Linked DNA regions of Lepisosteus oculatus. The protein of the gene in region 2 purifies or fractionates together with the protein of the main gene of each other region. This does not show direct contact. Links are inferred from orthologs where the notes say so. Each region holds a gene or a part of one and is shown on either strand. Other genes may lie near its edges.

Region 1 (6,859 bases), on a different chromosome or scaffold from region 2:
GCTTTCACCAATTGTATTGCTAACAGACCAGAGATACTGAAAAGCCTATTTCATTGGCAGTGGGTGCACATTTTTAGTGTACTGCTGCCATCTGTTGCACAAGCGTTAAACTGCTGACATCCAAAGTTAAGAAATAGAACCATCTATTCAACTGAGTCATGCATTTTATAAAGTATTTCCAATTTTCAACATCCTCAAATGGAAAAAAAAATGGAATCAATTTAATATTTGTCCATTTACATTTTAGTATTTTGATTTTGTTTTTCCTATATTTAATGTAATGCTGAACGTATTTTTTATCCATCCTTCCATTTTGTAACGGCTTTATCCACTAATCTATATAGCCAGTAGCCATATCACTCTGCACCTCACAACTGGCAACCCATTGAAGCTAAGTAGGTGTGAGCCTGATCAGTACCTGGATGGGAGACCTCCTGGGAAAAACTAAGGTTGCTGCTGGAAGAGGTGTTAGTGGGGCCAGCAGGGGGCGCTCACCCTGTGGTACATGTGGGTCCTAATGCCCCAGTATAGTGACGGGAACACTATACTGTAAACAGGTGCCGTCCTTTGGATGAGATGTAAAAGCAGGGTTCTGACTCTCTGTGGTCATTAAAAATCCCTGTGTGTTTCTCAGAGGGGTGTAACCTCGGCGTCCTGGTTAAATTTCCCATTGGCCCTTACCAATCATGGCCTCCAAATAATCCCCGACTATGAATTGGCTGCTCTGCTCTCCTCTGCTCTGCTCTGTGGTGAGCATTCTGGCGCACTATGGCTGCTGTCACATCATCTAGGTGGATGCTGTACATTGGGGAGTGTAAGCTATTATTATATACATACATACAACCATGGAGAAGACAGTGGTATTCAAGTCTGCAAACAGAGTAAAATAATTCCAAGTTTGATTTCAGTGTGAGCTGACAGAGGTTATATGATCTTTGTGATGTGAAATTTATCATACATAATAATACAAAGTATAATGCCTCCATAAACAAAAGGTACATTTTGCAATGTTACACATGGTCTTATCTTTGCTGCTTATGCATTATTCCAAATATTTTTTAGAATAGATATTCATACAGATTCTTTATAAACTCATTTTGCTAGCCCTGGGACCAATAGTAAACAATCAGCAAGACTTTCTGTTCATTATTTAATATTTATAAAGTATGGTCCAAAAGATGTATTGATGTAAAATATAGACTTGTTGGGTTTTCATTGTGCCTTAGTACATAAAACTGTAAATGCTATAGACTGATATTCCCCAAAACTAAGTTTATCTCAATACATTATGTCCTAGGCATTTCATGTTTGGTTGTGTATGGGCTTGTTGGCTCAGCTCCTAAATAGATGGTGCCAATGCCTACTCCTTCCAGATATTTGCATGCAGTTCCTGCTAAAACTTGAAGCTGGCAGATTTTACCTAGAGTACACCTCTCTTTGATTTTAGGGCCTCCAAAGTTACTCAGCCATGTACAGGTGATTGCTCAAATGCAGCTTGAGCCACTCAGGCCCATTAACCTGAATATCTGTCAGATTATTTACTCTTCATTGCCATTTTCTTCCATAATCGTCATTCTTTCCATAATTTCCTTCACTGCTGTATAAGTGAGTACATAATGACTACTTCAAGAAATAAAATTAATCAAATGTTTTTTTTTCTTTTTGAATGTTGATAAATGATGATGCTTGCCTGTCTATCCTCAATGTGCCTCATTCAGAAATGAAAAGTAAACTACAGAAACTGAGAAAGGAAGAAGCAAAGGTTTATTCCATCTGAAAAGAAAAGAGACACAACGTTTTGGTTGTGGAGTCTTTTTCGGGTACCTCCAGATTTACACCTGAAGCGGGCTGCACAGCCACAATGTTGGGTCCCTTTTGTTTTTGGCATAGAAAAGACCTTTACTTGCTCCTTTGCAGACTACGCATGCTGACACAGCTACTGTACCTACTGTACTTCAAGGAATTGCATAAAACCTCCTGCAAATCTGTACAGCAATGAAACCAAATAATTTTCATACGCAAATATAGCAAAATGTCCACAGCTGTTGGGTGACTGCTTTGCCTCTTCCACATGGTACATAAAGGTTCTGAAAGACATAAGCTTTCTAGTCTCAATTCATTGATGTCCCAGTTATTCTTTTGAAAATGGTTCATATGGAATTGACAGACAGATTTTCTACAGCATGTAAACTATATTAAATGCTAAAACTATATAAAATCACACCTTTCCTAGATATGGATATCAAAGTGCATGGTGTATTTTTGATTATTTTTCTGAAACTTTATTTTTACATACTGTATAGTAATTAGTCAAGGCATTAAACGATCTGTAATAGTAACAGATTAACTATGAAAGAATAAACATGATTTCTCAAAGCTTTAACCATTTACCCTTTTAACAGTTGTGGAGTTCTGTGTGACTAATTTAACATTTCAGTAATTTTAATCATTTTCTTAAATCCCACCTTTATGAAGGTTTGGAGGTGCAGATTTAATCCATTGTGTTGGAACCAAAACGATCTGTTGCTTTTTCAATGCCTCTCGGTATGTACTACCCATAATAATACCCATCTTAAAGGGTGTTTCATATTTTTCAAGATTTATTATTACAGCTATTATCTCAAGAAAACATTGCACTCATGATATGATGTATCATACAGTATGTATCAGGTATGATGAATCAATCAGGAGAAGTTCACTTTCCAATTTCCTAGTTCATTAGCATGGATCAAGGACACCTCTTCTGGGGTACCCCTGTTTCTTGTAGTTTCTGTTCCAGATGCATTCTTAATTATTAACTGACTCTTGTATTGATTTGAGTCTCTGACTTGTTTTGATCTCTGAAAAAGCTAAAAGTAAATAGTATATTGAGTAAGTGTTTGTTTAGGAACAAGTAATACACTGTAGGTTTATTCCAAGCTGAAAAGAGAAGAATGAAAACACAACGTTTCGACCTTCCTCACACCTTCTCTTTTCAGCATGGAATAAACCTATTACTTGTTCCTTTGCAGCCTATGCCTGCTGATGGCAGCTACCCACCTGCAGTGTTAATTTATGTAACTGTGAGCTCAGATTAACAAAACAGCACACAGAGAAATGTGCAGTAATGCACACTGCTCTAAAGTAAAATCAGAGCTAACTGGATAAATAAAAGTTATTTATTTACATGCAATACATTGTGTGTTGTCCAAGTTTGATAAATTGCTTTATTTTCATTACAGTGATTATATTACAGTCATTATACAGTATATCATAAAGATATTGTATTACAAAGTGATCAAATTTGTCTTTAGTTATTAAGTTTCTGAATAGAAACATTTAACTGTTGACACCAAACTGAAATTATTAAAAAATTATTTTGATGAGCCATGATGATTAAAAGTAATTAATTGGAATAAACATTATATCATGCATTGTACCCCACAACAATTGCTAATTAAATCCCCAAACTAATTAGAACGTGTAAATATTTTGTGTACTGTGTCTGTGAAACTCACTTACAGATGTATTTCTTATGTGTTTTATAATTAAAACAAAGTTATCTGTATTTTCTTCAGGTTCTTCAAGAGATTTGTATGATTTGCATGGGAGATTATGTGAAATAGAATACTTTGATCTTTTGATAAATGTGATCTTTCTATTTTGAATAAACATTAGCAAATATTACAATACTTTGTAAGTTGTTCAGCATTTGACTGATTATTTGAAAAATGTTCCAGTGATGAAACAGTTAATATTCACAAAGTACCTGCCTTCTCCTGCTGGTGAAAGGTGTGACTACAGGTGTGTTTATATAGGATCCACTTAGCAGCAAGGCAAACACTCCCAACATGCACTGTGGCAAGACACTGTAGGCAGTCTCAGGTTTCTGCCACCTTCTTCAAAACACTGTCTGTCCTGCGCTCACTAATAATTAACATCTATCTGAGGCTTCAGGCAAAAGTTACACTGGCTGATCGTTGACTTCCTTTGACCTCTTTTTCCTGTTACAGCAGAAAAAATAATGTGATACAGGCTACTTTGGACAAGTACTTTTGATTCAGTAAAGGTGAGTGGAAGTTGTTCAGTGGTAATGGTAACTTTTGGCTGTTTGGAGACTTAACTATTATAACCAGATGATGAGTAAAGTAAGATTTAATTTCAGAGGAGTGGAAGAATAATGTGTCATCATGTTTGTAGGTAAATCATCATGTGACAAAGGCAAGGAAAGCATTTCATGTTGACTGAAGTAAAGGGAAAAATTTATATTTTACTTTCAGTTTATAGTATATGGACACATAAAGTGAATCAGTTTTATAATTAAGTTGCTTCAAATAACATGTGGGTCAGTTTGAGGTTTGATTTTGAAGTTTGTGCTTCTAGTTTTTTCACATTTTAATTTTTACATCAAGCCATCACTGGCAACAGTCTGTGGGGAACATTAAAACTGAAAATTCACAGAACTGAAAAAACATGGTAGATTTCAGAATCGCCTCGTGATCAAAATCTTCTATTTCACACCATCTCTCAAACAAATCATACAGATCTCTTGCAGAACTGAAGAAAATACAGATACCTTTGTTTTAATTATACTGCACATAAGAAATACACCTGGATTAAAATATGTAAATTAAATACTTCATAACAACATAACACAGATTGCTTTTTTGTAGAGTGGTACTTAGAAATACTATTTAAATGTATTGCATCTGGTCATCCAGATTAGTGAAATATTCTAGTTAGAAATGGGTGTGGTCCAATAACTTAAAGGAATGTAGCCCCTGGCTATATATTTGAGTGGGTAAACTAGGCTTGTTATGGTACCATACTCAGAATAATGAAAAGTGGCTTTAAATTTCCAGAGACAAAACTTCACATTTTCATTCCATGTTTATGTTTGAAAAGCTTTACTGTATGTGACATTGAACTGTAATAACAGTTTCTCAATATTTGATGCAGAATTTACTACAACCACACAATAGAATCATGTAGAATAATTATCGTAATAGATGTTCTATTGTTATTGTACACTCATTTATACACAGATGGCAATTAACAAATCTTGCAAAATTATGGACTAGTACTGGTGACCTTTTAAAATGTCTCTTGCTGTAGGTTTGCATATGTAGCAAAGATAAAATGTCAGTTGCTAGAAACAAATAAAACTAGTCTCAAAACATTTGCATCACAATTGATGTTTTCTGTCTGATTTTGGCTGTACTTAAAAAGTTTCCGGGTGTTGATAAGTTTTTTACTTCAGATAATATTTTTTTTGATAAAATGCTAAATGAACTTGTATGTTCTCCCTGTCAATGGAGCTTCGTAGACACCTGACATGAATGGGTTGTTCCCTGGTTGTTGTTTGTTTTTTATTTCTTTTCACTTCTGAAACAGCATTAAACTGTACTTTAAAGACCTATAGACATGCTATATCTACTGTATATGCTATAGATTCTTCACAAAGTGTGTCTCTACTTGAGTTAGGCATACTAAGTACTTACAAATGTTTTAAAATGCAGAAAAAATCAAAGCATGTGATTCAATGAAATGGTTGTTTGTAGATAATTATATTTCAAATATTTCAATTTGTAAATTTGGTACAGGAAAGTGCATGTTTTGACTTGACCAAAAGGTTAAAAATTGACATTCCTAGACAGGGCTGGGATGCTGAATGCCCAAAAAGTTATTTTATCTGAAATGTGGATGTGTTTGTACTCCAGAAGACTTTGTTACATTTAGTAAGTGTGCTCGGTTTCGGTAACTATGATGTGATCAACAGAACAGCCTTTAAGGATGGAAAGAGGAACTGAAAGTGTTTATGGGACATTTATTTAAGCTAAAGACTAAGGGACATTGTTATTTATGTTAACTCAAATAACAACACTGAGTAAAAGCATTTAGACATTTTAAATCAACAATAGGGATCCTGTGGCATTGTTGTCCCTCCATAGTTTGCAATACCACAAATATGGCTCCTATGTAACTTAAATTAAAATTGTTCTGGATGTCTGTATTCAATATAAAAAAAACACATTATTCTAAACAAGCTAATCACATTCTGTTTAAAAAAAACTTAGAATCATCATAATTTTTGTTATACCCAACAGAACTGGATTAACCAATAGTGTATTTTCTACATCCCATTTAAGTATTCCTTTCATTTTTTTGTACAGTTTACAAGTTTTAAATGATCCAAAATCACTACAAATGTGGTATATCTGCTATAATTTATTACTCCTGATACCCCCCAGTGCCTCAACAATTTACAGTGATCTGGGGAGATAACCATTTCTCACTTTGTTTCATGATTTGATTAAATGTAACCACACTGGACAAACATAATATATGACTGTCATTTGGCCCACCACGTGGAAAGGAGTATTACACCTACAGTACATTTAAATCTCTGTATATTCCTCCTTGTTGCAAAAGAACACTAGGCTATCTTATAACAATTTACAGCACATACACAACAACACTCATTTAACAGCATATGAGAAACTGTTACATGATCGATATTTTAAAGATTCAAAAGAAAATATGTGAGTCTTATAACACAATGTCAGAAAGAACATGAACAGAACTGACATTTGGACTATTAAGGAGCTTGTGAATCGTTATGCACTTAACAGTGTTAACTGATTTTATTTTTTTTTGTCTCACAAAGGGTCTTACCATTTTGGTTTGCAGGATTAACTACAATGAATCTTGACCAGCCATCGTCTCCTGTCCATATCGGGAACAAGAGATCCATTTCCAGGTAGCTCAATCTGACAATTTAACACATTCAATGGGAATGTACTGTAGGAAGAAAAGATCACAAGAGAGACATCCAAAGCAGTATACACTTAACTGCAATTCCTTTTGACATACACCCATC
Region 2 (7,190 bases):
TAGCAGGTATTTTTACACCATATACATTATGGCCCTATGACAACTCATAACGGTTTCATCTTAGGTGCAACACGCAGCACAGCTTAGAGGCGACAAAAACACACCGACAGTGGGCCCCAACTCAGAGGACACCAAATTCCAATAAGACTAATCAACATGGCACTGTGTGGCTACACACGAATGAAGACGATTTCCATGCCACCATTACTACCTTGCCTGCCTTGGATTTGCATTCCCTCTTGTTCTCAGTGAGCACAGTGTATGAAAATGACCCTTGCAGCACTAGCACTAAAGACCTCAGGAGATGGAGACTGCAGATGACAAGACTAGCAACATCGCAGTTTCAAATGAAGCTCGCGTCTCAGATCACAGCAAGAATGAAGGTGCAACGAAGAATTAAGTGACAGAACATAAACCAATATCAAAGAGACAAAATCACCCCGTGAAACCGGGAAGCTTCACCGAAATCCAGAACTGCAGGAAAACACTTGAGAAAGGATATGAGAGGAGGCCACTCGTAGTTCGTTTGGTAACTAATTCCAAGGATCTAATTCTTTTCAATCTGGTTTAAACTTCACCAGCATGCCTGGGTAGCTTGTTCCACACTCCCACATCCCTTTGGGTAAAGAACAGCCACCTTCCCTCGGTTTTAAACTCCCTTCCGAGTTGTTTCCACGTGTGCCCACTGGTCCATTTCCACTGTTCATTCTGAAGACATCTGATGGTGTTGACTTTGTCGGAGGCCTTGAGGATTTTCAAGACTTGTTTCGGGTTCCAGGAGGACACCAATTGATCATGTGATCAATTTTATTCTTGTATAGCGCCTTTCAATCCAGAGGATTCAGCCTCAGTCATCCACCTAGACAGCTCACACTGCTCAGGCTAAGCATCAGCAGCAAGTAACATAACAGCCAAACTGATTATTTGTTAAATATAATTGAAATAATTTCCTGTCTTCTGTGGGTCTACATGATCAAATGCGTCTATGATCACTGGATTTCAGTCTCTTAACTCAATTGTTCGACTGGGATCTTCGCAAGCGGTTATCTGTATATTACAATGTCAGTTTCAGGCAAACCTAAATGTGAAAGAAATATCATTCAGCACAGGAAACAAAACAACAGAGCAGAAAAAAGCAGGAGGGTCAGTGATTTGAAGGTGCTGAATTCTGGGAACCCTCGAAGGCAGAAGTAAGCTGAACAGCGATGGTAGCAGATGACAAAAAGTTCAAACATACCATAAACCTGAACTTTTTTTAACTAAGCAACCAGCACTTACATTATCATTTACACAACAAAGTGCTGCAATAAAAACTTAAAGGCAATTATTTTATACCAATGAAAAATTCCTTTCATTTACATCTCACTTTGCATCCCAAAGGAATAAAGACTAGGAATAGACTTAACAACAATGGTGGACCACTTCACCCACCACTGCCCAGTACAAACCAGATCAGGTGTGATCAGAAGACAGGCCAGATTGTACAAATAACCCTTGGTAGTTTAGTGTGGTACTACTGCACACCGGCATTTTCAGTTCTACGAATAATACACTCACAAGACTAAGCCTAACAAGACCCACTCCCCGGTATCTCCAGCCTACTCTCGTAATCATCACTGTGTTCCCCACAGCACCAAGCTTGGTCTATGATTCTCTTACAACTATTTGCTTCGTTCTTCAACACTCAAAAATTAACGCACACTAGCCATTATTATTATATTGCACGGTAAGAAAATAATTTTAAAATAAATGAAACCACACAAACAAGAAGTATTCGCACAGATTATAAGTATCACTTCACGAATTAGGCGGAACTGCAATTTCGTTTCATTTCAGAAACACATAGTGGGCAACAGAGAATGAGTAAATGGGTAAATTATAAATGCCGAAGGTTGAGAACTGTCATTGCGCCGTTTGTTAGCACCAGAACAAGAGGAACAAGAGCAAGGAGTACACTACACGGAAATGCCTTTCTGCTTGTTTGTGAACGCTACCCCGCACGTGGTTCCGTGGCATATCAATATCCGGTTAACATATAATGAATTATCTAAATTAAATACCAGTTCTGGAGTAGCAGATTCACACACACAAAAACAGACACGTCGACTTACACAATATGTAGTAAACCGTGTCGCTCTCTCTTCAGTTAAATCCACGCTCGGGTTATTAACGAAAAGCACAACAAAGCATTTGCCAAACCAAGGGATAGATCTACAACTTAACACACTGACAGGCTGTCAGGGGGTTTAATCAGCAAGCCTCCCGTTTAGGAGAATCCTGCCATTTTGGAATTTTAAAAAAAAATGCAATCCCTGCTCGGTACGTAGAAAATCACCGCTTTGCCGAAAAGTGACCCTTCACTGGTTAAATTGAGAGGAGAGCCCAGCCCGGGGTCAGGCTACCGGAGGCACTTTGAAAATGCCGAACAAAGGAAAACAAACAGTCACTCCCCGAGACTGTAACAACCCCAGACCAACCTCTCGGCAAAGAGAAAAAAGAAAAACAAACGCGAACTACCCTGCTGAACCTAGACCCATCATGGCCTACCGCGACAGCTGCAACAAGCAGTAACCATTACAACAAAACAACAAGGAGACAACGAGACCACAACACAAACGAAGGCAACCGAAAGTTTGGCGCAGCCCGCCCCGCCGGTCTTCACAGGCGCCCGGTTTGCTTTTACCTCTTGGGCGCCGGCTGCTCCATCCTGCGACGCTGCCGAAAACACCGGTCTCCTGAAACAACAGACCCTGCCCGAAGAAAATAAAGGGTGGAAAAGCCGTGTATAACTCCTAACCAAGTTTCATATTCGGCCCCTCCAGCTGCCTTCTTGGTGACACTCCGGTGACGTCGCTGAGGAGCGCTTTCTAACTTGCTGCTCCAGGAGGGACGTGTCTTCCTGCGCCGCGTTTTCCTGGTTGGATGGATCCACCGGCGGTCATCCCCCAACACTGGTCCCTACCGACGCCAATATCGCAGGGCTGCAGTCGGGACTCCCCTACTCGCCGAGGCCAGTAGGAAGTGAACATGTGCTTTGTTGCGGCATTGTGGGTGGGGGAAAAAAAGCAGAGCATCACTCCCTGGCTGAGGGCTTTTCTGTGGTTTTGAAGCACCAACCGGATCCAGTTGGGATTCTTGTGCAGGGCGTACGTCTCTGGTTAACCGGGAGTATCACGCCCTGACACTCTGTTGTTACCATGCTCCAAAAACACACCCAGTCGTCTTCCGAAATGGCACACATCACCGGTGAGGTTGTCACAGGCTGTGAAAAACCACCCGTGCCTGCCTTCACTCAATTCAATTCAAGGTGCTTTATTAGCATGACCGATAGGTACAATCAGCGTTGCCAAAGCAAATAAAAATAATAAAATTAACATGGAACAAAACCAGAAATAGAAGTAAAATAAAATCTACAGACATGTTACAGACATTTACAACAAAGACATATTATAAAATATTGACATATACTGTAGGCGGCTGGAGCATTATTGGGAGTCACTCTTTCAGTTGCTAGTGTTGGTCATTTTTAGAAGAGGCGTGCTTGCTAAACTCCGTATATTTCTGATTTATCGAACATTTTGCGAAGCTGGATATGTGTAAAAAAATAGACGAGCACAAGTGTTGTACTAGCCGGTTAATTATGACTAGGTTTGAGATTTCAGTGTAAATTGAAGCCGAGGCTGCGTTTTCCGTTGTCACATGCTTAAGAAGGTATCTCATAAGCTCCACAGCGATGTGGTTTTTTTTAATCATCGTGGTGGTTGATATGAAAGGTGCGAATTATTTCTGGCAATTTTTTTTTCATGCACTTTTATGGGAGAAGCTAAAGACAAATTTCCACAGCAGTGGACAATAAAGTATCTTTCTGTCTCATACCACGCACCCAGTCTCAAGAATGCCTCTACCCTGGCAAGGGATGTTGAAATACAAATCTTATCATTATCAGTGTAGGTCAGTCCATCACATGACAACAGTCATGGACTAGAGACACCAAGTAACCTGATCAGCATAGCTTTGGAGCAAGCTAAAACTCCCGATGAAATCCCACACAAACTCCTGGAGAACATGCAAACTCCACCCAGACGGTGCCCCAGTCCAAATAAAACCCAGGACCACGAGAGCTGTGGGGCTGCAGAGCTACCAGCTTCTCCACCACGTCACCCCTAAACCGCCATTTTACAAAAAAAAACATCACATCTCCGCTTCACAGCGCGTTGGGTTTCTTGTTTTATGGTGGTTTCTGACTTGACGTTCCTAGTTTCCGTTGGTTTGGGTGAGCCCCAGTTTTCCCAGAACTTCAAAACTCAATAATACTTCAAATAGTTTTTTACACACGCTGAAGAGGAATAATAATAACGGTTTCATTACTGGCACATACAGTGCTACAGGCCTGTTTTGATGTGTTTTATTCTGGTATCGTAAGTAAACCAGTGATGATTATATGGCATATTTTTACACAAAGGGTTGTGGGAGTGTGGAACAAACTGCCCAGGCATGTTGTGCAAGCCAATGTATTGGTTTCTTTCAACTAACAGCTGGATGAGATTCTTGGACCAAGTAACTACTAGCTACCAAAGAGGCTAGATGGGCCAAACAGCCTCCTCTCCTTTGTAACTATTCTTATGTTCTTCTTATTGCAACCAGCAGCCATATCGCCCTGCAACTCACAGCCGGCAGCCCACTGAAGCTCTGCAAGTGTGAGCCTGGCCAGTACCTAAATGGGAACTAAGGTTGCTGCTGGAAGAGGTGTTAGTGGGGACAGTAGGGGGCGCTCACCCTGCAGGCTCTGTGTGGGTCCTAATGCCCCATTGTAGTCACAGGAACACTATACTGTAAAAAAAAAAAGTTTGCAGTCCTTTGGATGGGATGAGGTCTTGACTCTCTGTTGTGATTAAAAACCCCAGGGTGTTTCTCAAAAAGAGTAGCGGTGTTACATTGGTGTCCTGGCCAAATTTCCCCCTGGCCTTTACCAATCATGGCCTCCTAATAATCCCCATCTCTAGACGGGCTTCATCTCTCTGTTCTCCTCCCCACTGAGAGCTGGTGTGTGGCATGCTATGGCTACCATTGCATTATTCAGGAGGGGCTGCACATTGGTGGTGGAGGGGAGTCCCCATTATCTGTAAAGCACTTTGAGCGGAGTGTATTGTTATTATTAAGCGATGTCTGTATTCTGTTTACCATTAACCAGTGTTTATACTGAATACAAGCTTTTTCTATCACCTGCAATTTGAGAATGAATATTTTTAGAGGGAACTTATCAAAGGTCTTTTGAAAATTAAATGCACTTTCTTTTTGTATCCACTGCTGCTGTTGTACAGTATGTTCAAAGACTTCTTTGAACATTACGTTACATAAACAAGACTGACCCTTTCTTACCGCCTGATAATTTCCCCCGAGATTCGTATTTTCGTAACAATCTTTTTACGATGGACACTACCATCAATCAGCTAAACAGGTTCAATTGATGGAAGGGAATTAGACCCTGTTCTGTTTTGTTTAAACAGAGGATTTGTTTTTCTTATGTGCTTAAGAATATAATTGTGCTGAGGGTCAAAGAAAGTAAGTTTTTCTAATATGCTGATCAATTAGGAGCAGGGCGATGCAGTGGCGTAGTGGTCAGCACTGCTGCTTCGCAGTGCTAGGGTCCTGTGTTCAATTCCTGGGGTGCGATCTTCATGGCATTTGTACCATATGCTTGCGTGGGTTTCCTCTGGTGTTCCAGTGACTCCCACAGTCCAAAGTTCAAGTTCAGGTTCACGTTTATGTGTCATTCCAGCCATTTACAAGTATACAGTGGAACTAAATATCGTTCCTCCTGCTCCACGGTGCAAATACAGACAGGACACTGACATAGACAGTGTAGACAGGATACACACAGTGCAAAGTGCAGATAGTGCAAATTACAAGGCACATACATAATACAACATACACAACACACTGGGGGGATTTAAACCTGTTCCTGGAATTGGAGTGGGTGCAGGTAGATTCCAGGATGTTGAGGAGCCTGACAGCCTGTGGGAAGAAACTGTTCCAGAGTCTGGATCTAGCCCGTACACTGCGATATCTTTTCCCAGATGGTAGGAGGGCAAAGAGTTTCTGGGAGGGGTCATCCACTATACTGTGTAAGCAGCGTTCGTGAGATGTGACAGGAATGGAAGGGAGGGAGGCGCCGATGATCTTTTCAGCTGTTTCCACCATTCGTTGCAGGGTCTTGCGGTCTGAAGCATTGCAAAGACATACTAGTAAATTAGTTGGCTTCTGAGAAATTCGGCCCTGGTGTCTGTGTGCCAGTGTCTGTGCCCTGCAATGGAGTGCTGTACCTTGCCTTGTGCCCATTGCTTGCTGGGATAGGCTTCCACTCTCATGACACTGTATTGGATAAAGTTGTTAGAAAATGGATGGATTTTCATTACTGAACCTCTAGGATGCACAAAGTAACAAATCTGGCCTAAAGGTTTTAGTCTAAAGTCATTAAGAACCTAAGGTCATTGACTTTCTAAATGGCCTTGGAAAGGAAAAGCACACTCCAACTGCAGTGTTTTGTTCCCTCGTATCGTATCATTCTTAAAACATTACTCTAAAACTAAAAACTCCAAAAAGGTGAATGACATACAGAACTGTTCCAAAGTATGTAATCCCAGATACATGTGAAGTATATATATTTACAATAGTAAAAAAAAAAGCAACAGATTTCAAAATTTAAAAATTGGTCTCCTACCAATGATGATGTGAGATGAAGGCAATATTTTGTGTCCCCACACTCTGATTTATTTGACAGCTCGGTGCTTGTGTATTCCACATTTAAGGAACCTAAAAAAAATTCCAAAGTTCATCCAAAGTCTTCTCTTGTCCTTCCCTAAGTCCGTGTTTTATAGAACCAGGACTGACCTCTGGATTCGTGTGCAGGTCGCAGATTTCACATATCCAGCTTGTCTTTTGCCAACGAGATCATTTTTATGGCCCCAGTACTGTGGTTGATGTCATCGTCATCACATACAGAAGTGATGTTTCAACCAGCCTTGCTCTCCAGACGATACGGCACGGTTTTGGGTAATCAGCATGCCATTTTCCCTGGGGGGGGGACACCAGTACCTTCCCTGTTTATTACCTTTCCTAGCCCACTGGAATACATGCAGCCCCAAACATCTCTAGACGCTTGTTTCACTGTTGAATGTCAACAAGTTTCT

The links.
Region 1: the proteins of stk3 (region 2) and rassf6 purify together in Homo sapiens (affinity purification with mass spectrometry; 4 studies listed by BioGRID and IntAct, counting the BioPlex papers as one, with this or other methods). This does not show direct contact. The link is inferred for Lepisosteus oculatus from reciprocal best matches to the Homo sapiens genes STK3 and RASSF6.

Annotation. Positions count from the first base shown.
Region 1 is NC_090698.1:62,244,794-62,251,652, reverse strand, and holds the start of rassf6 (ras association domain-containing protein 6), read left to right. Parts: upstream 1-3,838; 5' UTR 3,839-4,048; intron 4,049-6,646; 5' UTR 6,647-6,680; coding exon 6,681-6,739; intron 6,740-6,859.
Region 2 is NC_090705.1:8,366,767-8,373,956, forward strand, and holds the start of stk3 (serine/threonine-protein kinase 3), read right to left. Parts: upstream 3,002-7,190; 5' UTR 2,707-3,001; coding exon 2,684-2,706; intron 1-2,683. UniProt on the Homo sapiens protein: Stress-activated, pro-apoptotic kinase which, following caspase-cleavage, enters the nucleus and induces chromatin condensation followed by internucleosomal DNA fragmentation.